Linked DNA regions of Tamandua tetradactyla. The protein of the gene in region 3 purifies or fractionates together with the protein of the main gene of each other region. This does not show direct contact. Links are inferred from orthologs where the notes say so. Each region holds a gene or a part of one and is shown on either strand. Other genes may lie near its edges.

What was found.
Region 1: the proteins of CTBP1 (region 3) and WDCP purify together in Homo sapiens (affinity purification with mass spectrometry; 3 studies listed by BioGRID and IntAct, counting the BioPlex papers as one, with this or other methods). This does not show direct contact. The link is inferred for Tamandua tetradactyla from reciprocal best matches to the Homo sapiens genes CTBP1 and WDCP.
Region 2: the proteins of CTBP1 (region 3) and FOXP1 purify together in Homo sapiens (affinity purification with western blotting; 3 studies listed by BioGRID and IntAct, with this or other methods). This does not show direct contact. The link is inferred for Tamandua tetradactyla from reciprocal best matches to the Homo sapiens genes CTBP1 and FOXP1.
Region 4: the proteins of CTBP1 (region 3) and MECOM purify together in Homo sapiens (affinity purification with mass spectrometry; 6 studies listed by BioGRID and IntAct, counting the BioPlex papers as one, with this or other methods). This does not show direct contact. The link is inferred for Tamandua tetradactyla from reciprocal best matches to the Homo sapiens genes CTBP1 and MECOM.

Annotation. Positions count from the first base shown.
Region 1 is NC_135329.1:7,217,953-7,225,611, forward strand, and holds the start of WDCP (WD repeat and coiled-coil-containing protein), read right to left. Parts: upstream 3,478-7,659; 5' UTR 3,385-3,477; intron 3,200-3,384; exon of another isoform or gene 3,087-3,199; intron 1,945-3,086; exon of another isoform or gene 1,861-1,944; intron 1-1,860. Other genes in the region: peptidyl-prolyl cis-trans isomerase FKBP1B, read left to right, coding at 5,161-5,197.
Region 2 is NC_135341.1:12,429,601-12,437,365, reverse strand, and holds the start of FOXP1 (forkhead box protein P1), read right to left. Parts: upstream 3,117-7,765; 5' UTR 3,099-3,116; intron 1-3,098. UniProt on the Homo sapiens protein: Transcriptional repressor. Can act with CTBP1 to synergistically repress transcription but CTPBP1 is not essential. Plays an important role in the specification and differentiation of lung epithelium.
Region 3 is NC_135345.1:920,026-927,938, forward strand, and holds the start of CTBP1 (C-terminal-binding protein 1), read right to left. Parts: upstream 3,245-7,913; 5' UTR 3,195-3,244; coding exon 3,155-3,194; intron 2,956-3,154; exon of another isoform or gene 2,927-2,955; intron 1-2,926. UniProt on the Homo sapiens protein: Corepressor targeting diverse transcription regulators such as GLIS2 or BCL6. Has dehydrogenase activity. Involved in controlling the equilibrium between tubular and stacked structures in the Golgi complex.
Region 4 is NC_135331.1:66,879,958-66,887,972, reverse strand, and holds the start of MECOM (histone-lysine N-methyltransferase MECOM), read left to right. Parts: upstream 1-4,648; 5' UTR 4,649-4,815; coding exon 4,816-4,963; intron 4,964-8,015.

The DNA.
Region 1 (7,659 bases), on a different chromosome or scaffold from region 3:
CTTTGTATTTTATGCATGATTATTCTGTGAACCCACAACTTCTCTAAGTTAAAAAACAAAACTCAGAGTCAGAACCTAGAGTATAGGTTACCTGGGCCTGTCTGGGTGTGGGGATTGGGGAGTTAATGCTTGAGTTGTACAATTTCTATTTAGGTTGATTGTAGAGTTCTGGTAACTGATGGTGGTGATGGTAGCACAACATCATGAATGTAATTCACAGCACTGAATTACAGACGTGAATGTGGTTAAAAAGGGAAATTAAAGGTTGTATGTTACCAGAATAAAAGTTATATTAAAAAAATAGGACCTACCAGAGACCAGCAAGAGTTAGAAACAGGTAAGATAATGGGTAATTGGAGCTGAAGGGATACAGACTGTGCAACAGGACTAGATACAAAAACTCAAAAATGGACAGCACAATAATACCTAATTGTAATGTAATTATGTTAAAACACTGAATGAAGCTGCATCTGAGCTATAATTTTGTTTGTTTGTTTGTTTGTTCATGTCTTTTGTTTTTTTCTTTTTCCTTTTCTTTTTTTTATTATTATTTTTATTTTTTTCTCTATATTAACTCTATATCTTTTTGTTGTTTTGCTAGTTCTTTTCCTAAATCGATGCAAATGTACTAAGAAATGATGATCATGCATCTATGTGATGATGTTAAGAATTACTGATTGCATATGTAAAATGGAATGATTTCTAAATGTTGTGTTAATTTCTTTTTTTTTCTTTAATTAATAAAAAAAAAAAAATAGGACCGTACAATACAAACAGTGAACCCTACTGCAAACGATGGACTATACATAATGGAACAATTATGAAAATATTCTTCTATGAATTGAAACAAATACACCATACTAATGCAAGGCGTTAATAATAGGATGGTATATGTGAACTCTGTATTTTATGCATGACTTTTTGGTAAGCCTACAACTTCTATAATTAAAATAATAGAAAATAAAAAGACAGAACTTGAAAAGAAGCCTTCAGACTCTAAATCCAAGGAAACGTATTTTCTACAACACTGCCTGGATCCTTGCTAGGTTCACCCTTACTCTCAGAGTCTTACTAAAAAGGAAGGGTATGTTATGCTTCTATATATGATGTCAGATTAAGCAGTTCTTCAGTGACTTGCCAAATGGAAAAATAAGTCTCCTGTTATTATCATCTAATGAAAAAAGAAGTGTACTCTCTATCCCACTGGTCTTGCATAAGATAATGTATGTTTTTTTCCCTAGTATCTACTTATGAATTTTAAGAGTTCTCTTGATAAATAATACATAATGCATTCTCCTGGGCAGAGAAAATTCCTAATGGGACAATTATATCTAAGGTAATTTATAGGACATGTTTTAAGCCACTCCAAATCTGTCTAACGTCGCTGAAAAGGTATGTGAACAGGAATAGCATCTAAGAATTTGCAAATAAAAGAGAAACAAAAATAAGGTTACTGAGATTTTTAGAAGTGACAAGAATACTGGCATATTTTTCTCAAAAGTCTAGCAGTACTTATAATAATCTATAGAAATCTATTTCTACTTCTCCTGATACCGTGGTAGTCTAATTTCTGACCATATCTCCTGTTTTAGTAGAGTAAAATAAGGAGTGATCCCCTTAATACTAGTTTCCTCTCCTTCCAAAATAGCCTGGACACTAGTTGTATTCAAGCAGAATTAGCTTTAAAAAAAAAAAAAGCACAGCTCTGATCATCTTGTCCTTTGCTCAAAAACCTTTGATGAGTCTCCACAGCCCACAGTAGAAAAGTAATTACTACTTTTCTAAGTAGAAAAAAAAATTACTCAAAATGTCATAGTAAAGCATTACATTTTCTGATACTGATAACTTTTCCAACCTTACCTTCGTGATTATAAAGGGCCTGCTGCAGAATTTGGAATTTGGGAGGGACCAGCACACATTCACGTGACAATGAGCAGGACAGACCTGAGAAGAAAGAAGGCTGCCAAGTTTAAGAAGGTGCCATGAAATAGTTCGAATGCCAGAGTGAGAATGTGAGCCAAGTACGTAGCTATGTCAGCAGGATAAGGGGAAAAAGTTCAAGAGATATTTCAAGGGCAGATGGAACAGATAATGGTATCAGATAGGAGTGGTGAGGAAGAAAGAAGAATCAAGGATAATAGGAAGATTTTTAGCTTGGGAAACTGCAGAACCATTAACGAGATACAGGCTTTCGTAGTGAGAAAGGTGTGTAGGGTATGGTATGTTCAGTATTGGAAGTGGTTCATTTAAGAATTTAGCAATGCATCTTACGCAGTTAGCCATGAAGATTTGGGAATCACTTGGCATGGGCTTGGTAGTTAAAGCCAAAGCAGTAGGCAAGCTCACTGCAAAAGATCAGTAAGTGAGACCAAGGCTGAAATAACCCTCAAGTATTCCCTATTATTCTCCATCTTTCAAAAATTTACATTTTGTTTGAAGTTACCAGTTGGTTTCTCAACACCCAGACTACAGACTGCTAAAATTAGGAGGCCTGCCTCACTCATCCTTGAATTCCCACAGAGACTAGCCAAGGTGTTTCCACATTGTGGTAGCTAAGGTGTTTTAGGGAGAGAAAAGACCACTCTTATTAGTCCTTGGGAGAGGTGGTCAGAAACAGGTCCTGGTGCTCAGTATCTGACCATTTAATCCTTCTGTTCTTAATCTTCTCTAAAGACATCCACCGTGAGAATCAAAGGGCTTAGGTGACCTGGTGCATTTCCAGCAGGCTTACACAGAGGTACCTACGCCTATTAGTTTCTCTAGGTTTCTAAGTTTATTGCGTCTGCATTATAAAAAAAAAAAGTTTCAAATTCTTTACATTTAATTTGAGGGGGGAAAAAAAGAAACGTAAAAACACAAGTTCACAAAAATCCGTTTATCCATAGAAAATTATAACTACATCCTTCCAGGCTTTTTTCTATGCACCGGTTTTAGTTGTTAATGCCTTTCAATTACATTGCATAATTTTATCACTTTTTTTTTTCCACTTAACATCATACGTTAGCATTTTCTCATACTACTTAAAATTTTTATAAAGTACACTTAGAGGTCAATATTCCCTTAGTGAAATGACGTAATTTACTGACCTACTCCTCCCCATGGGGCACGCGGGCTGGAGCCCACTTTATTCTATTATGAATAACGGTGTGACGGAGGCCCGTGCTCTTTACAGGCTGCCCGCCTTCTTTAGGAAGTGTTGCTTCAAAAGACACCAGCGGTCTCCACGTCTAAATCCGCGCCCGGCGTCCTCGCCCTCCTGCTCCTCACACGCGGGACCGCCACCGTCTCCGCACTCCCGAGCCCCCGCTCTCCCCACACGCCGGTCCCTCCGCCCACCCGCAGCCACCCCACACCGGCCAGACCCCGCAGCAGTGGACAAAGTACCTGGGTCTCACTGCCCCACCGAAGGCCAGTCTCCCCAAAGCGCCCCACCTCACCAGCCCGCCGACCCGAGGCCCCCACAGGTACCGGAAGCATCGGCCCCTAGTCCTCTGATAGGCCAGCGATGGCTGGGCGACCTCCACAATGCCCCTGCCTATTGGCTATCGTGTATGTCAAGTTAAGAGGGCGTCCTTCTTCCCAACCAATAAGCTGGGGCTCTGTCGCACGGATCTCTGGGAGTTGTAGTCCCTACTAAGGTCCACGGACCGTAAGCCAGGCACAATTTCTCCCTAGTTTCACCTGTTTAGCCCCGTCCCCCTCTTTCTGTCCGCCCTCTTAGTCTAAGGAGTACGGGAACCATAGCATCAACCACGGTTTCTCATCTTTGTTTTTTTTTTTTGGGGGGGGGGGGGGAGGTAAGGAGGTGAGACTCGAGGACCTCTTTAATTTATGGTAAAATACCCCGTCAATGCCAATGTTATGTATACACGAAATACAGTGCATTCAGTTGAAGCGGCTCCCTGGACCTGCGGCAGTCACAGATCCTGCTCTACCCAAAAGGTGCCTGCGTGTGATCACAACCCAAGGAGCTGGCAGTGCAGCCCGGGCTCCTTTCTTCAGACCAGCTCCACTCCTGGGAGAGTCTGGGCCGTGCGCAGGAGACTTTCAGGTCTGGACCCCATGGAAGGCTGACCTTCATCTTTCTTGAGCTTGGAACAACCCAGAGTCCTTCAGGGATGCTGACACCCTGAAGCCTCTGACCTAACCGCCTGGGGTGGGGGAGAAGATGGGGGAAGGACACCTCGAGGGCCCACTCTGGGCACCTTTTCGCCCCAAGCCCATCTTCCAGTGCCACGCGGCAGAGTCATACACCTTCACAGCAGTTTTCGGAACAGTGCAGGGAAGAATGAGAAAAAAGAGAGATTGTTTTAGCGTCCATTCGTCCTTCAAGCACATGCTACCCCCTCCCAAAAATTCTTTCCAGATTCCCGAATCCCTTTTGGGTTGAGATGAAGGGTCTCGGACTAACCGCTCAAGGCGCTGTGCCTGTCAGTGTCCCCCCGCCGGTCACAGGCTCAGCAACTCGAGGACAGCGGTCCTGCTTAATTCAAGTGGTATCCGCAGGCAACACTTTCCCTGGAAAAGAGGGCCCTCAATAAGTGTGTGTGAAGCCTAAGTACACAAAATGGTGAACGGAGGATTAGGGAGCGTGGGGGAAGGTCAGCAGCGCCTGGTGCCCCCTTAGACACCCCCCCGCCTCACCCCCTCTAGGGTCGGTGCCTTCCAAGCGCGCCCACAGCTCTTAGCACCCAGGCCAGGGAGCACATCTAATTAAAGCGTTGCTTAAATTGCCGGCTTGCTCGCCTGGTTTCCAGGACCCGGGAGACTACCCAGAATTTAGCACACAGTAGGTGCTAAATAAATAGCTATTGACTGGACCCGCGGCGGGGTGCGGAGGGCGCGTTCCTGCCCCACTGCCTGCTGCCTCCCTCTCCGGCCTCCCGGCCGGCGGGTTCCTGCCGGTCAGCGGGCGGGGCAGGGGAGCAGCCCTGCAGGGTCCCTACCCGGGCCCCTCCCCGGCCGACCCCACCTCGCCGCGCGGCTCCGCCCCGCCGCCCGCGCCCCGGCCGCCCCTCCCCGCGCGGGGCCCGACTCCAGCCGCACCTCCTCGGGCTCTGCAGTGGCGGCGGGGAGGCGAGCCGGAGACTCCGCCAGCGGGGCCGGGCCGGGGCCGGGGCAGCAGCGGGGACCCCCGGAGGCGGGGCCTGCGGGACCGCGATGGGCGTGGAGATCGAGACCATCTCCCCCGGAGACGGTACCGGGCGGCGGCGCGGGGGCCGGGCAGGGGTCCCGGGGCGGAGCCGGGCGGGCGGGGGCTGCTTCGGAGGTGGCACCCGGAGCGCCGCGGCACGGGGCGGGGGTCCGGGGTGGGGACGGCGGGAGGAGACCCCGGACGGGATTCCTAGGGGTCTGGAAGACCGTCTGCCGCCATCCCCTTCCTCGCGCGCCCACTTAGTGCAGAGACCGGGGGGTCTGCGCCCGGCGGCCGCCCTGGAAGTCCCCGACGGACCCGCTGGGTTATCCGTCGCTACTGATTTTGCAGGGCTCGGTTATCCGCCCAGCAGAGCCCTGGAAAGCGGGGGAGGGACCTGCTCTGGAAACGACCCCCTCCGAACGCGCTCCAGGCCGGGCCTCGGGGGGCGGGCTCCTGCGCCTGGGCACCGGGAGCCAGCCGGGGACGCGAGCAGCGCTCCGCCGCCGCCCCTGCACCGAACTGTCTTCTCCCCGCCCCATTCACCTTCCTGCGGGTCTTGCCCACTGCCGTGGCTCTTATTATCATCTGCAAACCTATGGCTCCCAAACGTAAACCTCCAGCCCAGACCTCCGACTTGAGTTCCAGGGTTCCGGGTGTCCAGCCGCTGCGCGACCTCCCACCTGGGTGACCAGGGACACCTCCCAGTCGGCAAGTCCACGCACAACTCAGGCACCCCACCCCCGTCCCTCAAGCACGGCCTTTTTCTGCGTTCCCTCCTCCCAGCCTCGCTTCCCCAAGCCAGGCACCCAAGGAAGGAGTCATCCTTGTATGATTGGGCCTGGGTGTGCAAGAAATAGCCATTTCTTTCGTTTTTAAATACGATTTCATTCCGAGTGGATCAGCCATGGTGTAGGGTTTGACACAAACTTTCCCACGAATAATTATGGAACACTGCTCCCCCCAGGAAATGTGGAGGGCCTCTTGGTTCCAGGCCACCCCCACCCCTTGTTCTATGGTAGTGGTCTCTAGAAGCCCCCGCGGGTACCTTGGAGCGCAGTGGGTTACACGCTTCTTTGTCCACCATGAGACCCCTGGTGCCTGGGCCCCAGGAAGCATTTCCCAGGGCCTAGCGGCCCACCCCAGGGCACAGCCAGAGAGTTTTTCCCTGGGGCCTCTTCTCTCTGCCTTTAGAGGCTTCTCTCTTTATTCTCCCTCCTTGGTCAGGGACAAGGGGGTATTTCTCTTCTGGAGGGGAATCAGATTTTTAGGGAAAGCCTAAGAAGAGCTGTGGCTTCCTGCTGTCAGCCCTGTCTAAACCCTTGACTCAGGGAAGCACGAAAGGGTCAGGAGGGAAAAATCTGAGTTAATGTTTCCACAAATCTGCTGCTATGCTGGGGACGCCTGCCTTTGGTAGCAGTTGTCTTCTTGCTTATTGTGTCTAGGCTCCATGACCCCAGCCCTGCCCTAGGTCAGGCCACCATCAGCTCTCACCTGGATTTCTCCACAGCCTCCAAACTGGTCTCCCTGTCTTAATCTCACTTCCTGGCTTTAGGGCTCACCTCCCTGCCTTCATCTGGCCTCCTCCCACCCTCTCTGTCTACACCAGGGCCTCAGAGCGTTTGTTACACTGCATATCTGACCATGCCCCTCCCCCAGGCATCACATATTTTAAAGTCTCTTCAGTCCCTTCTCCAGGCAAGCTGGGCCTTGGTGATGTGGCCTCTTAGCCTCTCCACCAGCACGTCATGTCACCACCTATCCCTGCTCTCATTACCAGGGTTTTCTCCAGTTTGACCAAGCTGCCTGAATGTTGCTAGCCACACCATTCATTCAGCAAATACGTGTTACACATTTGCAGCGCACAGGGCCCTGGCGTTGTAGCCATGACCCTAGCTCACCAGTTCCTTATCTCAGATGATCTCCCTTTACTTCCTCTGGCAAACTCCTACTCATCTTTTAGGGCCCGGCTTAAGCATTATCTCCTCTACGATGCTCTCCCTCACTCTCCCAGTTGGTTACTTGCTCCCTACTCTGTGCTTTCTTGGAGTACCCTAAATGCTTGGTCGTTAGCCTTTCTAGGCTTTGTTTTCCAGCCCCTGGCCTTTAAATTCCACCCCAACTTTTATCTCCAGTGCAGACCCTCCATCTGCCTACCTCCTACCTGCCTACCTATAGACTCGCATCTCTTGATTGCCACCTGCACAAATCTGGGTCCCTCCCATCTTCCCTGTCCCAGGAAATAGCTCTACTGCCCACTCAGTTGCCCAAACTGTGAACCCAGGCCTGGTTCTTGTTTTCTCCTTTTCCAGCATCCTGGACCCCACATCCAATCCATTAGCCTGCGTGTCAGCTTCGCTTCCAGAATATATCTTCACTCTACTACACTCTGCTTTACTCTTTCCTCTGCTACCACTGCCTTAATTCAAGTCATTATTGATTTCCTGGTCTGGATCATTGCAACAAATGCCTAGCCATCCACCCTGAACACAGCAGTCAGCCAGAGCAATCTTATAAGATAAGTA
Region 2 (7,765 bases), on a different chromosome or scaffold from region 3:
GTCACCACTTCTAAGGAAAACTCTACGCAAATCCAGGCTATAATTATCACATTTATTAATAACACTGTGGCTAACTGCCTATTAACTATGCAGTAGCCTTAGTCACCCCTTCACTCTTGAAGTCTTGTGATATGCATCATATAGGTACTGATATCCACTAAGGCTTCTTGCCAGGGAAACAGGAGCAAACCCCGATTCCCTGCCAGTGAACAGCGGCATCCGAGAACCCATCGCTGAGAGACCAGAAGTGGTTTCTGTGCATCCTGCCCCTAGGTTAATTTATTACGAAGGCATAGTTATTATCATCAACATAAACCGAGCACATTACCCATTTTATGGCCTTAAAAATTTGCCAGAATGATCTGTTTGTGAAAACATTTTATCTCAGTTTCATTTCCTCGCACCTGAGTGAGGCAACATGTTGTTCTCTTGGCTACATCCATGACTGTGAGCCGGTCGACCACGGGAGGATTATCGTGGAACACTCCACTCAGAGTGAGGGTCTCCTTCAAGCCTAAAGGCTCCAACTTATCAGCCATGACAACAAATGGGTGCTTCTTTTGGTTACTCAATAAACTTTAGAGTTCTCAAAGCCACGGGGCTGTCAGTGAATGTTATTTTTTTTTAATTATTTTCCATTTAACCAAAGGTAACAGTTTTGCGATCTTCGCTTTGTAAAATGCTCTGTTCCAAAAAGCAGAGTCCCAGCTAAAGTGGTTGTTTAGAATGCTTTTTACTTTTGTTCAATTAAAAAAAAAAACTGGTTTTATTGAAGGAAAAGGGGCAGAGAGAGAGAGGGCGAAACAAGGCATAGGGGGAGGATATGAAAATGTCTGAGGCATAAGAAGGGAGGAAAAAGGAAAAGAAAGCACAAGATATGTTAAAGTGTGTTTGTCTGGTACAGAACAAAGTTGGTTTTAAAATTCCTTCTTTTCAACTGAGGCAATTTATTGCAAGTATAAATAAATAAAACTTACTCTTATTGATGCTTTTAAAAAAATTTATTGTGGTAACATATATATAAGCTTTCCATTTTAACCTTACAAATTAGTGGTATTAATTGCATCCATGAAGTTTTGTGGCCCTCACCACCATCCATTACCAAAACTTTTCTATCATTCCAAACAGAAACCCTATATTGAATGAATTTTTGACAATGAAATGGCTAAGTAGCTATCAGGTATATCATGCATGGAATACCAGGTTATTGCATCATCTGGAGGGAGGAGGTTGGGAGATAATTACTGCTTTCAGTCAACCTTGGAGGTGTGCCCCAAGGAAAACTAAGGAAGAGGATAGAAAATCCGAACATATGAACCAGCTCATCAGATTCTGTGTCTCTATCTCCTACTAAAACTACAGCGAAGGGAAGTTTATTACAATCTGATAAACACAAAATACTTCCTTATTTAGAAGAAACTGGTATGCAGCTGGGCCTAACAGTACTTTTTATCAAGTCAAAAGAGATATTTTCAGTATAGTTCTTCAGAACGATTTTTTTTAAACAATGGGCCTTACCCAACTGAATAAAATAGGCTTAGTCTTCAATAAACTTATTCATGTGGTTTTCTTAAATTTCATACATCAATTTTATGATAGTGAAATTGAGTCAGACTCTCTCAATACTGAAGACAGAGATGACAGGTAACCTAACCTGAGCTTGTTGCTATTTCAATACCCTCAGAATTCCAACCACTTCTATGAATTCTGAGGTATGCCAGGCTTTCTTTTTAACTCTATCTGCATCCCCAAAGATATATTCTTCTCTTATCACACTATCTTCTTGTCATGTACTCGCTCTTTGTTCATGACCTACAGATCATTCGCTAAAGTCTATTGTAGCTTCCCAACAATGGAAAATCCTCAGAAGGGCTTCATAGATGAGGGAACCAAAAGCTTTGCTCAAGACCACCTAGTAAAATGATTGGAGACCTAGAACAGCTCCATTAACCATTTCTCAATTAGCTTCTATCAGCCACAGTGGCCCCATTTGTAAAATAAGAGTATTTAAATAGACAACTTCTAGGGCTTTGTGAGCAGTGACAGAAAAGAATTCTCTAACCTACCTGCTTTATTTCAAATAGAGGAAATCAAACCATAGACAGATTAACTTGCCCAAAGTTAATAACTATTAGGTCTTCCAATTTTCAATTCAGTGCTCTTTCTACTTCACTACACTTCCCACCATTAAATAAAATGTATTGCTAATACAACTTCACTAGGGTAAATAAGATGAATTTATGCCAATGGTTTCTTTCCATTAAATGCCATCCAGTATGAAATCTGAAAGTAAATGGCTCCCCATAATGCTGTTCTCATTCTGAAAAAGCTACCATAGAATGTTGGCAGAGTTTTTAACCAAAACACCTGGCCTCAGCCAATTAATGGTAACTGATAACAGCAAGTCATAATTAATTGATTTTTAAAGGGGATCCATCAGTTTCTGAGGAACATGAAAAACACTAACCAATACAAAAAATACACCTACATGGAAAAGATAATCACACCCCTTCTAAACACCCCTAAAATAACGATGAATAATTTAATGAGGTAAATTATATTACTGAAAAAATATGACCAGAAGTCTTTCAGAAAACCTTTGAGAATCCAAAATTTCCAACATTTTGGCTTCTTTAAGAACTCTAATAATGTGAAAGGTTTGGGTGGAATCTTCTCAATGAACAAATCAGACTTAAATTTATCCCAAACACTCATGGGGAGGTAATTATAGCCTTATTTCATGATGGTATATTTATTTTATCACCAAGTTGTAATGTAAAAAGCAATTACACAATTTTGCATGTGGTTCATAATTTAGATAGTCCACCCTTCTGTGTATGATGAAAACAAACAAGCAATGAAAAAAAAGTTCTTCTGTCATATTATGCCTTTTTAAATCCTCAGAGCACTCTATGAGTTGTCTGAAAAGGTTAAACCAGAAAATCAAGATAGTATGTCTCTGCTTTCACAATGAGATTCTCTCCTCAATGGGTAATTGTCCCGATGGCTCAAGATTTTTATGCTTCTTGCACTGTGTGGGGTAGGCAGAATTTTTGTCCTGTGGCTTTTCAGACAAATAATCATAAATATGCACTCACCCCTTCAGCTAGCAGGCATCACATCCATCCATTCATGGCTGACAGCAGATCGGAGAAGGGATCACCATTGCCCAAATGTTTTGTTCGGAAACTGGAATTGTCAGCAAAAGCTCCTGGAACACTGCAACACAAAAATATTTTTTACCCATAACTAAGATGTAACTTCTAAAACCACCACTTCCTTAATCTTGAAAACAGCAAGACAGACATATAGCCTAGAGGTAGGGGAAAACACCCTTCAAGCAAGGGTATGTCAATATACAAGTGTGATGCTGTAAAATATGAACCGGAAATATTGCTTTGAAAGACATGTTTACCAACTGCTTCAACAAATACACCAAACGGTTGCTAGTTATTATAAACTTTGTACCAAAGATTTAAAATATTTTAGCATTACAAAACATCACACCCTACTAAAAAGTGTTCAGCTAATGCGAAACTGTTTTAACGCAAATCTTAAGTGGAGAAATGAACCATTTCCTATTAAGTAAAGGTCTCTTCCAGAGAATGAAAATACATATGACAATATTAAATAATAATGATTTAAGATGTCCAAAGTACACACAGTACTAAGATTTAAAAAAAAAAAGAACATTAAAACCAGTAAAGGAGATACACATAATTATTTTTTTCTCCCCAAATAATATTTCATTCTAAACACGGTTATGAAATACATAAGGAGCAATACTCATGGAAATATATTCATTAAGAAAGAACCCACTGTGTAATACACAGGCCTCAAAGCTGAGAAGCCTGAATCTGGGACCTGGGTATTATCACTAATCAGCTGTGTGGCCCCAGGAGAGCCATTTAACATCTCTGGTCTCCAGCCTCTTCATTCACAAGGTCAGGACATTAGCTATGCTCTCCCAGTCCCTTCCACTTTCAAGCTTCTCTGTATTTTTTCACAGAGCTTACATATTCTAAATAACTAAAACTATTAACTTCTCTTTTCCTGTTTAAAAGGTCATTTTTTGTTTTTGTTTTTTAATCACAAATCATTCTTAAGCCAAACTGCCATCAACATCAAAGATATGCTGTGGCAGAGAGCTCTGCAGATTCCGAAAATTTTCACTCTGGCATCAGTGCTCAACCCTTAGCAGCTTACAGCATCCCCTGGGTGCCCACGTATTACTCTTCAGAGAGCACAGATCCAAATCCTATGAAAATCTGTCTGAATGCATTCTAGATCAGTGCTTCTCGATGTTTAGTGTGCATAAGAATTACCTGGAAAGCTTCTTAGAATCCAGATTCCTGGGCCCTGGCCCAAGAGCTTCTGACTCAATAGGGTCTGGAGTAGGACTTGAGATCCTACATTTCCAACAAGTTTCCAGGGGATGCTGATGCTGCCAACATCTTTGAGTCCAAATGACAAAGCCCCATTCTCCAAACCCCAGAGAGAACCAGGAAGCACTCCCCAAGGCTCAGAGAGGTCCCCCACAAAGCTACAGGGTCTACACTGCATGGCAAAAAGAAAAGGGGCAAGGCTGCTCACTGTCTACAGGACAAAATCCAAACTTCTTTCCTTGGCCTAGAAGGCCCTGCATAATCTAGCACTCTGCTTCTCTGAGATCACCTCAAACCACTAACCCAACCCCCAACTACAGAACAGATCCAGTGACCTTCTTTTCATTCTAGCAAGCCAAGAGTTGTCCTGTCTCAGCGCCAGTACACCTGTACCTCAGCGACATAGAATGCCAGGAAGCTAGTCCTACACAACGGGCTCTTTCTCACCATTGGGTATTAGGGACAAAGGCCACTTCAAGAGGCCTTCTATCCTGAGCAGTTATTTAAGCGAGGGCCCCAAAGTTTCTCTCAAGTATATCGTTCTACTCGTTTACTCCACAGTTCTTGTCAAAATCAGAAACACTTTTTCTTACTTATTCTCTGGAAGATAAGGGATAAGAGGTGGAGATAAGGGATGTGATGGTTCATTACATGTATCAGTTTGGCTGGAGTGCAGTGTCCAGTTGTTTGGTCAAACACTAGTCTGGGTGTTGCCGTGAAGGTATTTTGTAGATATGGTTAACACCCACAATCAGTTGACAAAGTAGAGGTGACTATGCTAGATAACATAGGTAGTCATCAATCAGCTGAAAATCATAAGGGCAAAAACTTGGGTTTCCTGGACAAGAAATTCTGCATCAAGACAAGAACATAATGAAGCCCCATTCTCTAAACCCAGTCAGCCTTCAGACCCAGGAAGTGTCACCAAGGCTCCGAAAGGCCCCCCAAAAGCTACAGGGTCTACCTTAGCACAGCAAAAAGAAATGAGGTAAGGCTGCTCACCATCTTCAGGATAAAATACAAACATCTGCCTGAGTTTCCAGCTTGTTGGCCTTCCCTACAGATTATGGACTTGCCACCCCCACAATCACATGGGCCAATTCCTCAAAATAAATCTCTTAAAATATACCCACATATCCTATTGGTTCTGTTTCTCTGGAGAACCCAACCCTGACTGATGCAAGGGAACTTCCCTCTTTCTATTCATCACGGTGTCCCAAAACGTTAAAAAAATGCCTGGCTCACTTGATACATATTTATAGAATGAACAAATGAATCAACAACTAAAAGAACAAAGTTCTTCAGCATCCTATAAAAACATAATTGCCATTTACTGAAAACTCACCAAGACCTGGATTTTGTTTTAAACAATTTACAATAGTTATTTTATTGTATCATATTCTTGCAACAAAGGCCCTGGTAGACACTATTATTATAAGCTCAATTTGAAGATAAATTGACTCACAGATAGGAACTTGCCCAAGATCACACAGTAGCAGAGGCTGACTGTATAAAGCTCGTGCTCGTAAGAGCAGCATGTTTTTCAGGCCAATACAGACATTTTGAGCGCCTACACTGTACAAGAGACCCTTCGCACTCCAGCTTGTGCAAGTGAGTTCTGGCTGTGAGACCTTGTACAGGACACTAAACCTCTCTGAGCACAAGTGCCTTTGTTCTCACAGAAAGGGCTAAACTAAGGCAGGTATCCCCATCTCAAATGCCCACATGACCGGCCAGATAAGCCATACCAGTGAAGCAGGCCAGGAGTCAGGTAACAACAAAAGGTGAAGAATGTGGGAACGAGTAGGCCCCAGTTTCCCTGCCACAGGGGACAGCCCCAGAGCCTCGCCAGCCAGTCAGCGCCATGTAGGGACACAGGGCTTCTCAAGCTTTCAGTTCTACAAATACAGCCAGTAATCCCTATTTCTATTTTGTGAAATGTCATGTTTTGCAAAGATGGTGGCTAATTTTTAATAGTTTATATTAAAAAAGAAACAACAAAAAACCTTGCAAGCCCTGAACCAAGTGATGGCTTAGAGCATTCCAGTCTCCAGTTCTATGATCCTAGCACATTTAGAAGCACCGAGGAGCTGTACAAGTGAGCAGAGGAACGCGCGGCAGGCATCGGGACCAACGGGAGCTCCGTCAAGAGGAAGTATCTCGAGCGGTTTTGAAAGGAATTGGAAGACAGGGTGGAGAAGGTCCTCCACAAGGTAGGAGCAGAAGTAAGAGGGCTGAGCTGGTGGGAGACTTCATGCGGGAGCTTACTTTTCATTCAGGATTGGAATAGCCCCACAGGTGTCACAGCTAAGACATAAGTTAGCTAAACAATGCTTTAAGAGTATGACCTTCACTGCTGTCTTACTTAGTTTCCTATTGCATGAAAGTAACCAGGCATATCAAAAAATAAAGGCAGGATCACCACTGTGGTTTACGGGGAAAAAAAAATTCTATTTTTGTGTGTGTGTTTGTTATGAGTTCAGCAGACCCAGAGCTGAATTCCATCTCCACCAAGCTCTATAACTTTGGCCAAAATTCCCTCTGAGCTCTAGAAATGAAAAACACAGCAAGTAAAATAAAGAACAGAAGAGAAGATAAATATCCAAATAAATTATCCAAATAAGCATCCCAGAGATAAAACCTGTCCACCTAGAACTGCATACTATAAAAAACTAACTTTCAGAAATGAGAGTAAAATAAAGATCTTTTCAGACAAACAGAAGTTTATCATCTCTCTAAAGAACATTGTAAAAGATGAGTTCAGGCCCACAGGAGATAATTTCAGGAAGAAGGTTCTCTAACATCCGAAGGAAAGGGGAAGCCAAAATAATAGAGAGCTTGTGGGTAAATGAAAAGTAAATTCAGTAGCAAAACAAGGCACAGGCCTCAAAAAAATTAAAAAAAAAAAAAAAAAAAATCCAACCCATCCCTGTTCTCTTCCCAGCTCACCTATCATTTACATGGCAGCACCATCAATCACCAAGGCCATAGTTTGCAAGCATCATTGTGCAACTGAAACATCAGCCTGAAATGCAAATTCCTGACTCTCAGTCCAGAGATTCCTAATCAGGTCCCAGGAATCTGCATTTCTACGAAGTACCCTGGGAAATTCTGACCCTGGGAAATTCTGATGCAGACAGGTCCTTGTCTCCAATATTGAAGAGTGCTGCAGTGCTATGTAAACACTTTATAGCAAGGAACTCCCTGAGTGCTGGGGTTATAGGTGAAAACACCAGCAGTCTTTGTCCTTTTCCTCTTCACCAGAGCCCAGAGGGCATCCAGATCCAGGAGGTCAGCAGCACCCAGGCCTCAGTCCTGCTATTCAAGAGCTGCAATAAATTAAAAGCCCATTAAAATATTTTTAGAAAAAAGCCTAGAAG
Region 3 (7,913 bases):
CTGCGGAGGGGGGGAGGCTGGGGGGGAGACTGCTGGGGGGAGACTGGGGGAGACTGCTGGTGGGGGAGGGATGGGGGAAGACAGTTGGGGAGAGACTGCTGGCGGGGAGAGGCTGGGGGGAGATACTGAGAGGGGAGACTGTTGAGGGGAAGATACGGGGGGGGGGAGATTGGTGGGACTCTGCCTGGGGGGGAAACTGGGGGGGAAGACTGCTGGGGGGGGAGACTGCTGGTAGGGAGGCTGAGGGGGGAGACTGCCGGGGGAGACTGCCAGGGGCACGTCCCCAGGCCCTCCTCTCAAACACTGGACCGCTCACCATGAGCACAGACTGCCGGACACTTGGCAAAGTCGTCACTGTTGAAGAGGGTCCTGGGTCCTGGCCGGAAACCAGGCTGCGGGGGCGGGGTTCCCCAGCAGGAGAGAACGGGGACGGGGAGGTAGAGAGAGGGAGGGAGCTGCAGGGCGGAGGGTTACAGCTTCTGCAGCCCCCAATCTCCCCAGGCACGGCCACCTCCAGGCCCACGGCCTGACCCTGGAGGGCGGCGGCCACGGAGGGAAACCCCAGAAAGCTAGACGTGTTTGGCTTCCCTGTGGCAAGAGTGACAGCCCAGCTCAGCCGCAGGGCCACGGCCACAGCCAGGGCCGCCCACGGGTTCCCTGTCCCTCCTGGGGCGGCCCTTCTTCCAGCAGGCAGCAAAGGGTTAAGCAGGTCCCCAGGCAAAGGCCGGGCTGGGCACCCTGCCAGGGAAGGTTCCAGTCTCCAAGCCTCCGGCTCAGGTGCGGCCCCCTCCCCCGGCTCCCGCCTGACCTTGCCGCTGCGGGCACAGGGAGGGGCCGAGGAGGGGGCAGCCGAGGCGGGCGGGCCAGGCAGGACCCGGGGACGCTCCACCCCGGAAGTGCTCCTGCCACGAGGAAGGCCACGCTGCGGGGACGCGACCAGGAACTGCAAAATGGCCACGGAGGGCCGTGCGCAAGTGACAAAGTGGCCTGGGTGAGGGCCGCTCAGAGCAAGGCCTGCATTCGCCTGGGCCTGGAGCCGAAGGGCCCTGCGCTGGCGCTCGGATGCCAGGAGGGGAGACCAAGGTGCCTCGTGATGCACAGACTCTGTGTCGCTGGGGTGCCCGCGGGGGTGCCCCAGCAGCGGCCCCTCCACCCACGGGGGGACACGGACACACCCCACACACCCACGTCGCAGGGCCAATGCCTGGGCCTTCCAGCCGGCAGCACAGAGGGAACGGCTGCCCTCCCGCCCGCCGGACAGCTGCGTCCTAATTTTACACACACAAACCGGGGACAAAAAAATTCAAAGCAAGAGGCCTAAGGGCAAAGCTGGGCTGCGGTGCGACAGCGGCAGCCTGGGGTCACCTCCCTTAACCTGAGGGCCGGCCGCCTCGCCTTCGGACGTCACAGAGGCCCGGGTCGGCCAGCAGCCCCCACCCCCACCCACAGGAAACGGGCGGGGGGCAGTGCTGGGCCAACACACTCGCGACCGCCTTCTGACTCCCACCCCTGGTCACACACAGTAAACATCCCCAGGCGGAGGGAGAGCTGTCTCCTTCTTGCAAAGCAAGTCGATGGGTGAACCGGCTGCTTGCGCGCCGCAGAAGCACCAAAAGCACACCCCAGCATGCTCCAAACACAACGGACGCCAACCCGGGCTCCGGGACAGAAAGGCGACTTAAACAGAGCAGGAGGCTCCGGGACAGGAAGGCGACTTAAACAGAGCAGGAGGCTCCGGGACAGGAAGGCGACTTAAACAGAGCAGGAGGCTCCGGGACAGGAAGGCGACTTAAACAGAGCAGGAGGCTCCAGGACAGGAAGGCGACTTAAACAGAGCAGGAGGCTCTGCTGACCGCCCAACGAGGCCAGCCCGGCTCCAGCAGGGACCGGTCGGGGCAACTCACAGGCTGACATCCAGGACGGGGGTGGGGGGCGAGGATGGGGGGCAGATCTAAGATGAAACGCAGCTCTGAGGGTCCAGTGGGACCTGGGACTGGGGGTCAAATGGGCTGGGCCAAAAAACTGCAGGCCAGGTTCTGGAGGTCCAACAAGCCTGGAACCGGGTAGGCCCAGGTCTGAAGGTATGGTAGGACCTGCGTCTGGGGGTCTGATGAGGTTAGGGTGCAGAGCTGCAGGCCAGATCTGGGGGTCTGATGGGACCCGGCAGTAGGGTTGTGGGCTGGATCTGGGGGTCCACCCAGCCAGCTGTAGGACTGGGGCTATGAGAGGGCTGGGCTGCAGGGCAGCAACTCTGGGTCTGGGGTTCGATGTGACCTGGGTCTGGGGATCCAATGGGGCCCCGCCGGACATCAGGGTCTGAGGACACTGGGTCTGAGGGGACCGGGCCACAGGATCGTGGGCCAGATCTGGGGATCCCAAGGCAACCCGGATCTGGGGGTCCGAGGGGACCGGGTCTGGGGGTCTGAGGGGACCGGGTCTGGGGGTCCGAGGGGACCGGGTCTGGGGATCTGAGGGACTCAGGAATGGGGGTCCGAGGGGACCGGGTGCAGGGTCATGGGCCAGATCAGCGGATCCAATGGGACCAGGTCTGGGGGTCCAAGGGAACCGGGTTTGGGAGTCGGAGGGGGCCGGGCCGCAGGGTCGTGGGCTGGAACTGGGGATCCCAGGGGACCGGGACTGGGGGTCCGAGGAGACCCGGGTCTGGGAGTCCGAGAGGACCAGGCCGCAGGGCCGTGGGCCGGGTCTCGGGTCCAAGGAGACCGGGTCTGTGGGTCCGAGGAGAACCGGGTCTGGGGGTCCGAGGGAACCGGGACTGGAGGTCCGAGAAGACGGGTCTGGGGGTGCAAAGGGACGGCTCTGGGGTCCGAGGGGACCCGGATCTGGGTGTCGGACGACAGCCGGGTCTGGGGTCCGACGGCCGGCGCGCCCGGCTGCCCCTCCCGCCGCGCCGGCCCCTTTGTGTCACCTGCGCCGACCCGGCCGGGCGTGACGGCGGCTCCGCGCACGCGCACTCAGCAGCCCGCGCCCGCGCCCGCGCGCGGCCCCGCCCCCGGCCGGCGGGCGCGCACGCGCACTCGCACACAAAGCGGCGCCCGCGGCGCGCGCTCGGCCCGCCCCCGCGCCCCCCGCCCGCCGGCCGTTCCCCGCCCCCCGCGCCGCCGCCCCCCGCCGGCCGGAAGCGCGGCCCGCTCACCGAGAGGCAGGCCCTTGTTGAGCAAGTGCGAGCTGCCCATTGAAAGGCGCGGGCGGCCGCGGCCCCGACGAGTGCGGCGCGCTCCGCCGAGCCCGGCGCCTGGGCCCTGCGCCGTCCGCTGCTCCGCCCGCCTGCGCCCGGGGCCGCCGAGCCGATCGCGCCGCGCCGCGCCGAGCAGCCGCCTCCGAGCGGGCGGGGACGCAGAGCGGCGGCGGCGCGCGGCGGCGGGCGGGGCTTGCGCGGCCGCATTAATCTCGTGTTTCCAGGCGAGCGCGCCGCGCCGGACCGACGCGGGCGGCTGCAGGGCGCGCCCGCCGGCCCCGCCCTGGCCTGGCAGCGACGCCGCCCTCCCGCCCCGGGATGCGGGGGGCGCGGAGCGGGGGATGCGGGCCCGGGGGATGCGGGGGGAGCGGAGCGGGGGATGCGGGGGGCTCAGAGCCGGGGGATCCGGGGCTGGGGGATGCAGGCAAGGGGCCGGGGGGCGCGGAGCCGGGGAACGCGGAGCTGGGGATGCGGGCAAGGGGTCCGGGGGGAGCGGAGCCAGGGTACGCGGGGCTGGGGGGTGCGAGTGGCACGGTGCCGGGGGATGCGGGGCTGGGGGATGCGGGCAAGGGCCCAGGGGGCGTGGAGCCGGGGGACCGGGGGCTGGGGGGTGCAGGCAAGGGGTCGGGGGATGCAGGACCCAGGGATGCGGGGCTGGGGGATGCGGGCAAGGGGCCGGGGGTCGCGGAGCTGGGGATGCGGGCAAGGGCCCCGGGGGGGCGTGGAGCCAGGGTGCGCGGGACTGGGGGGTGCGGGTGGCACGGTGCCGGGGGATGCGGGGCTGGGGGATGAGGGGAGGGGCGCGGAGTCGGGGGATGCCGGGCTGGAGGATGCAGGCAAGGGCCTGGGGGCCGCGGAGCTGGGGAACAAGGGACCAGAGCCTGGGGCCTGGGGTCAAGGGGCGGGAGGGGGGACGGGGCGCGGGGCCGGAGAGACAGGAGGGCGCAGGGCGGCCCGAGGACACCCCTGCGGGCGCGACAGAGAAAGCCCGGCCAGCCCCGGGCTTGGTGCGCGGCGGCCCGGACCCGGGGAAGGCAGCAGGGCCTCCTTTCGCCTTATCTCCCCCAGCACAGGGCTGGGCCGGGTTGTGAGGCGCCGACGCCTGCCACCAGAGCCCGCCTAGGGCACTCACGGGGAAGGCCCTGTTGGCACCTGCAAAGCGGCCTGCACACCTGGGCGCAGGCACGTCGGCCCGGGCGGGGCTCACCGCGGCACCCGCCGGCTCTGGCCCAGTCCCGAGATAGCTGGGAAGGTTCATCAATAGAGCAACCCAGGGGCAGCGTGTCACTGGAGGCGCATTAACTTCTACCTGCTCCTGAGGCCTGCCCCTACCTGCGCCTGCTTCAAGGTGTGCTGCTGGCAAAGGGGCAGCGGTGATTCCACCCCCACCCCCTTAACTTCTGGGCATGGCCTGTCCCCTGCTCCCTACACAAGCAAACAGCTTCCTCCCCCTCAGGCTCATTTACGAACCCAAAAGGATCATTTAAGTCAGAAATTCCACAGATGGAGAAACACATGCGTGTGTGTGCACATGTGGGGACATAAACCTAAGTTGCAACATTTGCTTCCAAACCTCTGCTTTGTTGCACTTGGCTAATGGGCGGCCTTCAAAGTCGCCAACCTCAGCCTTCCAGAATCTGCGGCTTCTGGGACTTTCCGCCGTGGACGCCCCTGCGGGCCTGGGAGCCCACCGTCCTTGGAGGAGCTGTGCCCAGGCCCTCTGTGCACACGCAGTCCCCCATCCAAGCCCTCAAGAGGCCACTCCCCTTGTCTCCCTGCTCTCCGCCCCTCACCTGCCCCTGTCACAGGCCACTCCCGCTGTGGGGCCGGCCACCTCCTGCCCCTGTGTCCGCCATGCCCCCTGGGGCGACTCCCAGTGTCCCCGTGGCCGCCTGCCTGCTGCCCAGAGCCTGCCACAGCACTGGAGAGCCTTCCCGGAGGCAGGAAAGTTCATTCAACGAATGAACTACATTATATTAGGAAAAGCTGTCCCACTCACAGTGCCAATAAATCAAACATCCACACGTGGCCCATCAACACGTGAAGGGTCTAGTTTAAAAGGCTGTGAAACCTATTGAGAGGTAAGGTTGGCGTCATTGGCCTGAAATAGAAACAATATTCTCAGGATATCCATTTTTCTCCAAGTTTAGAAGAAATTTCAGTTAAAATTCCAATTGAATTTCCTTTCAAATTTGACTAGATTATTCTAAATTCAACTGGAAGAATCGCTAGATGAAACCGTAAAGGAACAAGAGATGCCAGGAGGCTAGGCTCACTGGAGAATAACTTAGGAAGCCCCATCATTAGATCCCATCAGCACAGGCCCAAACCCATGGCCAGTCCAGGGTGCCCAGCAGGGGGACCTGAAGCCATCCCAGCTCTCTGTACACTTTCAGACTCAACCAGTGGGCACGCCTGCGGGCACCCAATAAAGGAGGGCAGGGAACTGGGAGTGTATTTACGAAACAAGCACTTCTAACCCATACCTGGGACCTAATATGAACAAAGAGTTGCATGCCCCTAGGGGGGCTGTGAGCGTCCGGCTGACCTCGCGGGGAACTCTGTCACTGCAGAGCAGAGGGGCTGCTCGGGACAGACCCGCTGACCCGACACCCCCCCCCCCCCAGCGCTGCCCCTTCCCACGCCCCCTTCCCAGGCAGCCGCTTACTCTCAGAACTTGGTCCAAAATCAGAGCCCTTGGCCCAGCCAGGCCGCTTCCTCCCTTGTCCCGCCCGTCCCTGTGCTGCCACCTCCAGAAGACCGGGTCCCCTTGACAACCGCTGTTCCCACACCCCTCCATCCTGGGAGGGGCCCTAAATGCAAACCTGTCATCCCCTGCCCCAAATCCTTTAGGGCGTGCCACTGTGCTCTGCAGGAAACACAAGTTTCTTATCCCAGGTAGGGTCCTGGCACCCAGGCCTCCCCAGTGTTCCCCTAACCTGTCTCCCCTCCACCCACCACGCTCCAGCAGTGCCCCAAAACCCCTGTCCCACCATGCGGCCTCTCTCCCCTCCCACCCCAGGGCCTTTGCACGTGCTGTCTCCACTGCCTTTCCATGTCCACCTTCTCCTTACCCTCAGCCTAATATAAGACTGACCTTCCATCTGGACTTCCTTCTTGCTGCACTGCCAGCCCCTGTGGCACGGGGTCCTGTTGCTCCCGTCTCCCTGCTCCCCCCACCCCGCCATGTATTTGAGGTGGGGCCCTGCTCAGTAGGGACGTGGGAATTGATCCACCATTCTGAATGTGCCTGGCCCTTTAGCATCTTCTCAATCCTCTGGATGGGCCAGGGGCACCGAGGCCACAGGCCCTGCTTGGGGAGAGGGTCGGCCATCCACCCCAATGCCCCCACGCGCCCCTCCATGGCCCTTGACATCCCAAATCACCTTCAGAGAACTGGCCTGCAGAGCCCAAGGCGTGCATCTTCGCCCTGTCCCAGCTGTCCCCGCTCTGGCTGTAGCCCCCACCCACCCCAAGCCCATCGGTGGTCCCTGCCCCGGTCCCACCTCCCACCATGCCCACCCTGCTTGGCCGAGCCCAGCCGGCCGTCCTGGTGAAGCTCCCCGCCGCCCCGAAGAAAACTCAGGGCCTGGAAGGACAGGCCGCGGGGACCCTCCAACCCTTCCATCTTCAACTTTGTAGCCAGGAGCATCCCAGCAACGGCCCCATCCCCCACTGAAGCAAACCAAACTCTGCCGACTACAGAAGACGCTTTGTGGACCAAGGAAGAGGGTCAGAAATGGGCTTCTCCTGTAGGAGAGAGCGGGGCACCAGCCTGGGCGCCGGGGTTTGCCCTCTGCCACCTGAGCTGGTTTCCTAAGGAAGGACAGCTCTTCCAATGCCCAATATCGATATTTTACTTCTCTCCTTGAACAGTAGACGATCCTTAGGCTCTTGGTTCTTTTGAACTACGCTGAAACGCTGCTCCAGTAGTCAGTTAGTATGAAGACCCGATGATGCTTACGTCTTAGGAGCTGCTGTCAGGCCCTGACGGGGTCAGGCTCAGTGGACTTGGGGGAGCCTGGTCACCCCGCTGCCGCCGAGAGGGGCCACCAGGGCGCAGACTCCGAGTGCATGGAAGTGTCCGCCCCGCGCTGCGTCAGCCTGCACTCACGGCCGGGTCCTCACTTCCCACTCGGCCATGTCAGGGGGCTGCAGGGTTCCCTGGCACTCCAGGCCTCGGGGAGGAGGAGGCCCAGGGGGACCCCCAAAAAATAAACACGTGAAAGTGTTTCATTTTTTAAATTCTATCCAGTATTTAAGAGCAGACCAGCTCTGGGGAGACGGCTGCAAAGGAAGCTCCAGTCCTTCCGGGAAGGCGGCTCTTGGGCTGGCAGGACTGTCTGAATCGACTGCTGGGGAATGGAGAGGACACTGCAGTGGCCGGAGGGCAGGAGGGAGAGCCCGGTATACTGCAGAAAATCCGGTGGCCCTTATCCTCCCTGCAGCGGTCGCCAGCCCCAGCCCCAGCCCGCTGGCACGCAGCAGAGGGGGTAGCCGCCCGGGCTTCGGGTGCACCTGTGGGAGCTGGCGGGGGGGGGGGGGGGGGGGCCCGGCTTGAAGGCCCACTCCTGCAGACTCTGGGGGTACGCTCTGATTGCTGGCCACTGCTTGGGGTCAGCTACTTTGGATCCAAGGGTGGCCACTGTTCCCTTCTCCCTTATGCTGTCAGGATGCTCTGTGCTCCTGGCAGTCGGTTTAGAAGGTGTCTCAGTAC
Region 4 (8,015 bases), on a different chromosome or scaffold from region 3:
GATGATAAATATCCCTGTTGATCACTTGATTGATTACCTCCCTGAAAGGTCACGCGGGCTCTCAGTAATTTCCTTTTGCCTAAGGCTCCCTTTTCACTTTTACTCCGGCACGACAGCTCCGAGTACATGGGATCTTTATTTTTTATTTTAACCCCTAAATGCAACCCCTCCCGAAAACAATGCAGACAAGAAAAATCGAATAAAATCAACTCGAGACCTTTTCGCTCAGCTCACTCGCAGGCGCCCTCCCCTCTCGCTCCTTTCTTTATTCCCGTCCCGCCCCCTCCTTTTCCGACCCACTCTCCCCAACTCAGATGTATTCTGGACACTATTTAATAGACGAGTGTCTTGCAAGTAAACTCAGGCGTCCCTTGGGTCTGCATTTCATATCTGTGACTCTCTCCCTTTCTCTCCTGTGGACTGAAAATTCGGATTTAAACCACTAGACAAGCTATTAATTTAGCTAGGCTACCCAGGGTCCTGAACCCAATTAATTTCTAATAATTATAGCCCAAGGGGGCTAGATAGATCTCCCTGACTCTTTCTTTTATTGCCACTCCACGCCACCGAGGTCAGCATATAATAATAAAGTGTATATTTTGAAAGCGATCGCCAGAACAGTGAGTTATTGCAATGAATGAAAATTGTTTCCATTTTGGCTAATTGAGCTGGTGGCCGAAAGCTGGAGCTCTGAGACTAAATAAAGAGGACTGTTTCATTTCAACATGAAGAAACCCCTGCCTAGCTCTGGTCACCCAGTGAGAGTTTAATTTCTTAACAGCCACCCTGAAACCCAGCGTTGGGTAAACAGTATTAATAATTGCATTACAATGATTAAATTAATCTCGCTGGTAGCCAGGAGAATATAGGTTGCGATTGAATGGAACGATGTAAAGTTCACTGCACAAAGACAATAGGCCAAGAAATACCTTCATAAAGAATTCAAACTTTCTTCCAAAGATACTGTGGGGTTGGTTCAATTATAATGCTAGAAAAAGAAAATTTCCTGTTGCATGGAATGTGTTGAAATTCGGTTCTTTGCCGTTTCTAGGATTAATTCAAGAGGCAACCAGAGAAGGGGTGTGCGTCTCTCCTCCCCTAAAATTAACCAATTTCTCCCGTCTCCCATCTCGATCTCCCTGGAACAAACAAATGAACAACAACAAAAAAAAGTAAAAAAGAAAAAAAAGAAAGAAATGCACCCCCCTCCCCGAAAAAAAAATTGGCAATAATAAAAGAAGCAAACCCAAACAGCTCATAAACTCGTTCGATTTTTCCAATGAGGCACGCCCGCTTCCGTGGGACGAAGCTTGTGAAAACACCGGGACCCGTGCAACTGCCCCTCCAAGAAAAACGAATTTCAGGAGGAGAGAGAAGGGCGGGCAGTGGGGGCAGCGCGGGCAGCCCGGCGGCTCTGCCAACTTGTGGACGGCCTCTTTTCTCTTGGGCCAGCGACACTTTAGACGACCCGTCAGAGGGTTTCTGGAACTCCGCGGGGCGGTTGAGCAGAAAGTCACCTGCTCGGGTCCCACGGCTGGGACCTGGGGCAGGTGGGACTGACGGGATCCAGGCTCTTGGGAACGGGAACCGGCCAGGGCCGGGCCGTGGGGGCGCGGGCAGTACCCGCGGGGAGCGCGGCCGGGCTGCTGCTGGGCGTTTGCTCCATCAGGTTAAACACACTTGAACCAGCCATTTAGCTTTTTATTGACACACATACACAGAAAAAGCAACCGGCAAAGAAAGAAAGAAAGAAAGAAAAAGGCAGGGGAGGAAAAAAAAAGGAAAAGAAACACAGGTTTCGAGTTTGGAAAAACAAAGGGGGGTGGTGGTGGTAACGTGAATACTTTTATTAAATAAAAAAGTAAGCTTTGTCTCTTCACAATATCCTGACCAGGGCGGGGGCGGGGGTGATCAGAGGAGTTTGCTTTGATTTCAGTTACCAGGGGCTGAGCGCCCTCGGCAGCTCTCCCCTCCAAACCGGGTAGGAACCCGACAGCTATTAATGGGGTTCGGAAATGCTTGGAAAGAGCAGACAGGAAGATGCCAGCGCAGACACGACACTCACCCCACGAACTTTCAGAAACAGGAGGATGCCCGTGCCTCCCCTCCACACACCCCCTCCACGTCTTCTAGAAGTTTGAAAGACAGGGACTTTTAAATTGGGGGGACAGGAAAACTCTGATTCGGTTCTCTTCGGTCTTTCACCTCCCACCAAGTTCCCTTCACACACCCACCCCACCCCCTAGTCCGCCACGTGGTCTGTCATTTCTCAGGAGAACCAATTCCTGTTTCACTTGTGGGTCTTTTATTTTAATCTCTGGGTTTGGGTCAATGGTCCCTTAGTTCTCTCGAAAATTCCCCGCCATTTCTCTTAATCCCCCCCCCCCCCCCGGTACCTAGATGTAGACAGACCCCCTGGGGATGAAATGAAAGGAATTAACGGGAGGAGTGGAGCGCAAGACCGAAACTCTAACTTTCTCTCTTTTTCAATAATTCTCAGAGGTCAGAAGGTGAAATGAAATGTCCCAGGTTGAGGTGCGGAGCCTCTTCCTAGCCAGGGCGCTGCGCATGTGCCTGGACCCCGGGCCCTGCTAACTCCAGCTCCCTCCTTGGGGACCTAGGCTGTAATCCTTAGACGCCTTCTCAATTTCGACAACCCGGAAGGGCCGGTCCCCGGGTCGCTGACCCTCGGTCCTGTGGCCTAGGCGACCGTCCCCAAACAGCATTGATCAGACGCTGCCTCAGAACTGCTTGCTCACCAGCTTGGCGTGTTTCTCTCTCCTAGAGATTTTGCTCCTTTTGGGAAGCTGAGCCTCCATTTCCCCCTTTACTGGCCAGTAAAGCCATTCCTCCATCTAACCTGAACGGGGCTAACAGATTTAAATTTTTGGAGTCAAATGCCGGTGGAAACCCACAACCAGAAGGTTGTAGTAGCAAGTATTTTTATTATTATTTTTTTTATTGTACATGCCAATGTGTAAGCACACCCACCTGGACGCATTTGGCAAGAGGAACTGCAGAGGGGCTAGAAAAACCCACGTGCCTCTCTAGTCCAGAGGGGATGATAGAATTCTCTCGTAACATGTGCTTGGGCACCAGAGCCTTCTCCATTGGAAGTTATTTCCCTCCTGCTCTCTGTAATTCCCTCCTCCGCCTCCCCCTTCCCTTCCTCACATTTCAACATTGCAAATCTGTCTCCCTTGGGACCTGTAGCGTGGCTCTCCAGAGACCTGTATCCTACAGCCAAATGCCCCTGGAATTACGCAGTTCTGGAGAAAGAAAAAAATGGTGGGCATCCTTAGCAGAGCAGCCAAAGTTCAAAGACCAGAGAATCCTTTGAACTTTGGTTTCCTGGAATAAAGATATTTGCGGGACATCAATGCCCTTTCATGCTGGATCTTTCTACCTGTTCTTCTCACACCTCCAGTCCTAGTTTTTCCAATAAATGCCGATATAAAACAACTGGGTTTTCTCAAAGATCCCCCTTGCCCTCCCCTGCCTTCGACAAACTCATATCCAGGATCTACTTTTCTTTTTCCCTTTCCTTCAACTTGAACATCCAGGATGTATTGTCCTAGTAAGGAGGCTGAAAAGATTGTAATTTTCTTTTATGGTGTCTGTCAGGATTTGCAACAGATATTAATGGGGACATAAATAGCACATGGAAGGTATTGAACAAAACTGTTTAATGCAAGAAGGTTGTACCAGGAGAAAATCTATACTTAGTTGGAATTAATTCATACCTTGAATACAGCTTGCCCCTTTAGAAGTTCCCCATTTCTGTGTTCCCACTTCCACTGGTAAATCCTGTAATTAAAGCGAATTTCAACAATGTCTTTTTTAAGGGCAGGGGGAGGAAAAAGTTCCCCCTCCTCCTCCTTGTGACCCCGGAGATTGTAGGGTTCCAGCGAATGAGTGAAAATGGCAGACAGGCAGAGCTGCAGCAGAAGGCGACAGGGGCAGCGATGGCAGAGGCCGGAAGGTGACACCGGACCTCGGGGAAGGCAGAAGGTCTTGGATGTCAAATGCCCGCGCCTGCCCGGACGTTGAGATCAAGAGTGGTCACTGCTGCTTGGTGGGAATAGACCACTAAAATGTTCCAAGGACGACAGCAAGCGTTGGTATTATACCTAAAACCCAGAAACATTTATTTATTCTGCTTCCATCTCTGAAAGCGGAAGCCACAATAGCTTTAGTAGCAGCAGCAGTACTAGCAGATTTCCCGGAGTTCAGGATGAGTCCCACTTTCTCCTGGGCCATTTGCGGAGGGTTCAGCCCTTCTCCTAGTTCTTACGTATGGGAAAGATTTTTAAAGTTTTTTTTTTCTCTTCCTGCACTTCTTACGTTCTCCCATAGATGGTACAGATAATTTTCTGCAATTTATGGCGGGGGAAAAATAATAATAGTAATGATACAGGCTTGGCTTATCGGTGATTCCAACACGTAAGCCTCTGTCAGAGCCTTCTCATTCCTTCCCTTTTTTGGGGGGGGGGGGCTCGAGGTGTCGGCTCCCCTCCGGCTACCCGCGCCCGCTCCCCGCCCCCCGCCGCCCTCCCCACGGCTCCCTTTCTCCGCCTCCTCGGCGATTGCCATCTGACAAGATCTCCAAATCAAAGTGATAAATCGCTCCAAACTTTTTTTGGCGGCGCTGAGATGTTGGAGGGGCGTCTAGCGCGCATGTGCGAAGGTGTCCAAACTGACAATGCTGGAGAGATAGCGAGTGTGGATTGAGAGAAAAGGAGAGAGGGAGGGAGAGAGAGAAAGAGGGAAAGACAGAGAGTGAGTGCGTGGAAGTGTGTGTGTGTGTGTGTGTGTATGAGAGAGAGAGTGAGAGAGGGAGGGAGCGAGAGGGAGAGCAAAAGAAGGAAAAGATCCAAGAAAAAAAAACCCCAACCACACACCAGCGGCTGCAGGACTGGGCACAGCATGAGATCCAAAGGCAGGGCAAGGAAACTGGCCACAAGTAGGTGCAATATCCCTTTTCTATTGGCTTTCCCCCCTCCTCTGCCATCTTGCATATCTGTCTCCAGCGCTCCGGGAGGGAGCGCGGGGCTGCGTGTCGCGCGGGGCCCGGGGTGGAGGGGAGGTACAGCGCAGCCCCAGCAACCTGCCGGTCCCTGCCGCCGCCGCCGCGCCCGCCCGCCCGCACTCTCGCTTCTGGTTTGGGAGCCGGAGGTGCGGGGGCTGCGCTCAACCCTGCGCACCGACCAGCTGTGGCAGCCCCGGGGTGGGGGTGGGGGTGGGGGCAGCAAAGACGGGGTGGGAGGGAGAAGAGCGCGAGAGCAAGCGGGAAGGGGTTGGGGGGGGAGGGAGAGGAGAAGGGAGAGCGTCTCCCCCTTCCCTCCCCTCCCCCCAGACGGGGGAGAGTCGCTTCTGGCCAACCAGCTAGTCCCGAGTGTGGGAGGAGGGGGGGTGGGAGCGAGAGATGGGGGGGGACGCGAGGGGGCGGGCAGGGGAAAGTAGCATTTTTGAGCCTCGGTTTGTTTCTGGGGTTTCGGGTGGTGGCAGGCTGGGAAGCAGCCACAGTGGCGGCGGCGACAGGCGGCCAGCAGTGGAGTTGGGAAAAGTTGCAAGGCGGCCGCTGGAAGTTGCGCGGGCCGGCGGGCTGCGCCGAGCCGCGCGGGTGCTGTAGTGGGCGCTGTGAGCTCGGCTGTGGCTCTCCCGCGTGCGCCGCGCGGCTGGAGAACTGAGGCGGGGTGGGGGGTGGGGGGTGGGGGTAGAGTGGAGGGAGATGCGGGAGGGGGGCTGTAATGTGTGTGGGGGGTCATCTGCAGAATAGAGCCACTGGCTCCTCCGAGTCGCGGGCAGGTGAGAGAGCAGAGGCCCAGTGAGCGCGTGGAGAGCGGGGCGCGGAGGGCGCGCACCCAGCAACTACAGCCGCCGAGGAGAAAGGGCCGAGCGCGCGCGCTGGGGCCGGCAAGCCCCGGGCTGGCTGGACGCCGAGCGACCCCCAGGGGGCGGGCTGCGGGAACGCGGGGCTGTGCAGAGGGCGCGGCGGAGCCTCGGCTCTTCCTCTAGGCGCAGCCCCCCGGGCCCGGGTCGCTTACCCTCCCCGGCGCCCCCTGCCTGCCCGGCGCGGAGCGAGCGGCCTTGGTCACGCCGGGACCGGGCCTATTGGGTACGGGGTGGGGCCGGCGGGACCCCCATTCCGGACCCTTTTTCTCCAAAAGTGGTGGGTGTACCGACCGGCTTGGCGGGCTGAACTGCTACTGTGCGAGATGGCGCGGGCCTCAGCCTGGACTGGAGGCGACCGGGATGGGTCTGTCCAGATGCTTCGACCTCAAGTGCAAGGGGACTCGCGGCGCCGAGACCCGAGCGGCCCTGAGCGCTCCCGCACTGGGGATCGGCACGCGGGGTGGCCGCTGCGGCGGGAGACTACCCGCAGCCGCTCACTCTACACACGCCGGCGGCCGCCGCAAACAGAGCTCTCTAATTGTTTTGTCGGTGGAGTAGAGCCGGGAAAGATGGAGGGTGGGATGCAGCTCCCCAGAGAAACTTCCAGGCTTCCCCCTCCTCCCTTGTACTTGAGAACCAAAATCTGGCGCTCCCACCCCCTCCTAGCGTCCCGCGGCGGCGACCCAGCGGCTGGCCGGGTATAGCGGGCGGTGGGAATCCGCACTCCAGCCTAGCGCTCTGCCGGGCTCGTAAGCGCTTTTCCTGGCCTCGGCCAAGCACTCCCTTCATGTCCAGAAACTTGTCTTTCGCCCGGGTCTTAGGGATCCACCTAAGTGTGGGGCTTCTAGGGTCATCAGTTCATTTATTTCTTTCTCTTTGGGATGTTGGTCATTTCACTTCGCTGCGGCAGTGTCAAAGCGCGCCAGTGCAGCTCTTTTTTCCTGTTTGGTTTTCATAGGAGGCCGCTGTTTTTATTTTCATCCGAGGGGGGGGAAATGTCTATATGCTTGGAAGCCGGGGGGCTTCAATTCCCACTAAAGGTTTGTAGAGGGGGTGGGGGGTGGCGTGGGGGGCTGGGGTGTGTGCGTGGGGGGGGCGTGTTTCACCCCTGCCTCAATTGTGTGAAATGAAAGCCGAAGGCTTCGCGCGCCTGATTGCCCAGTATCCGCCGAAGTGAAAGCAGAACACAAACCCCTTAGAATTTTCTCGAGCAACTTTTCCAACTGTTTAAATTGCCAAATGTACGCTGCTGAGATGAAAATATCTCTCCCGCACAGCTCCCTCCATATTCCTCTTCAATCCGAGTCCCGAGCGTTTCTGATCGGATACTTGTCATTCATTTGATGGAAGACCCGTTTATTTTGTGTCGGTCTCTGAGGAGGCCACTGTCGCTTTCTGATGGCTAAATCAGGACACTTACAAACTTTTCTTGCTGAGCTTCAGGTTCCGGCTTGCGTTGCTCCAGTTGTGGCCGCCGCAGCTGACTTTTCTCAGACAGAAGCGGTGCTTTCTGCAATTCTTCAGTTACAATCTGGGTAATAAAGGAATCATATTAAAACCATGCTTTTTTTTTTTTTTTTTGTATTTTAAAGCGCTATTTCCTTTCCTCGAGTGGCACGCGAGTTTCCTAGCGCGTGGTGGAGATGGTAGGTGACCCCTGTGGTGCAACCGTGTAACGAAAACTTCGCCTCTCCGCCTGTACCGGTTCTTTCTTTTGCTGGGTTAGAAAGGGTCAGCCTACTTTAAAAAATAAACTCTACCTTTTTCGTTGCAAAAGTAAACAGTGGAAACAAGTCACGTAGAAACGGTTGTTTTCTCGGTGGCTTGTTATTCTTTTTGCCATTTGTAAAATTCCACGTAGCCGTAAGTCCTGACTCGTCTTGGCTACTGTGCAGTAGCCCGTGGACCCGAGACCAGGGACTCCATACAGACCCTAAGAGTACCTGCCACCCTGCACTTACACCCAGAAATGAACGCCGACCCAGTCTCCAACTTGTAGGATTTGCTTTATGCACAGTAGTTGAGACCGAGAAATTCGTTTCGAATCATCTGGGAGGATTTAAAAGCTTAATTAAAACCTAAAGAAGAGGAAAAGCAAGAAGACTGACATTCGTACTGTT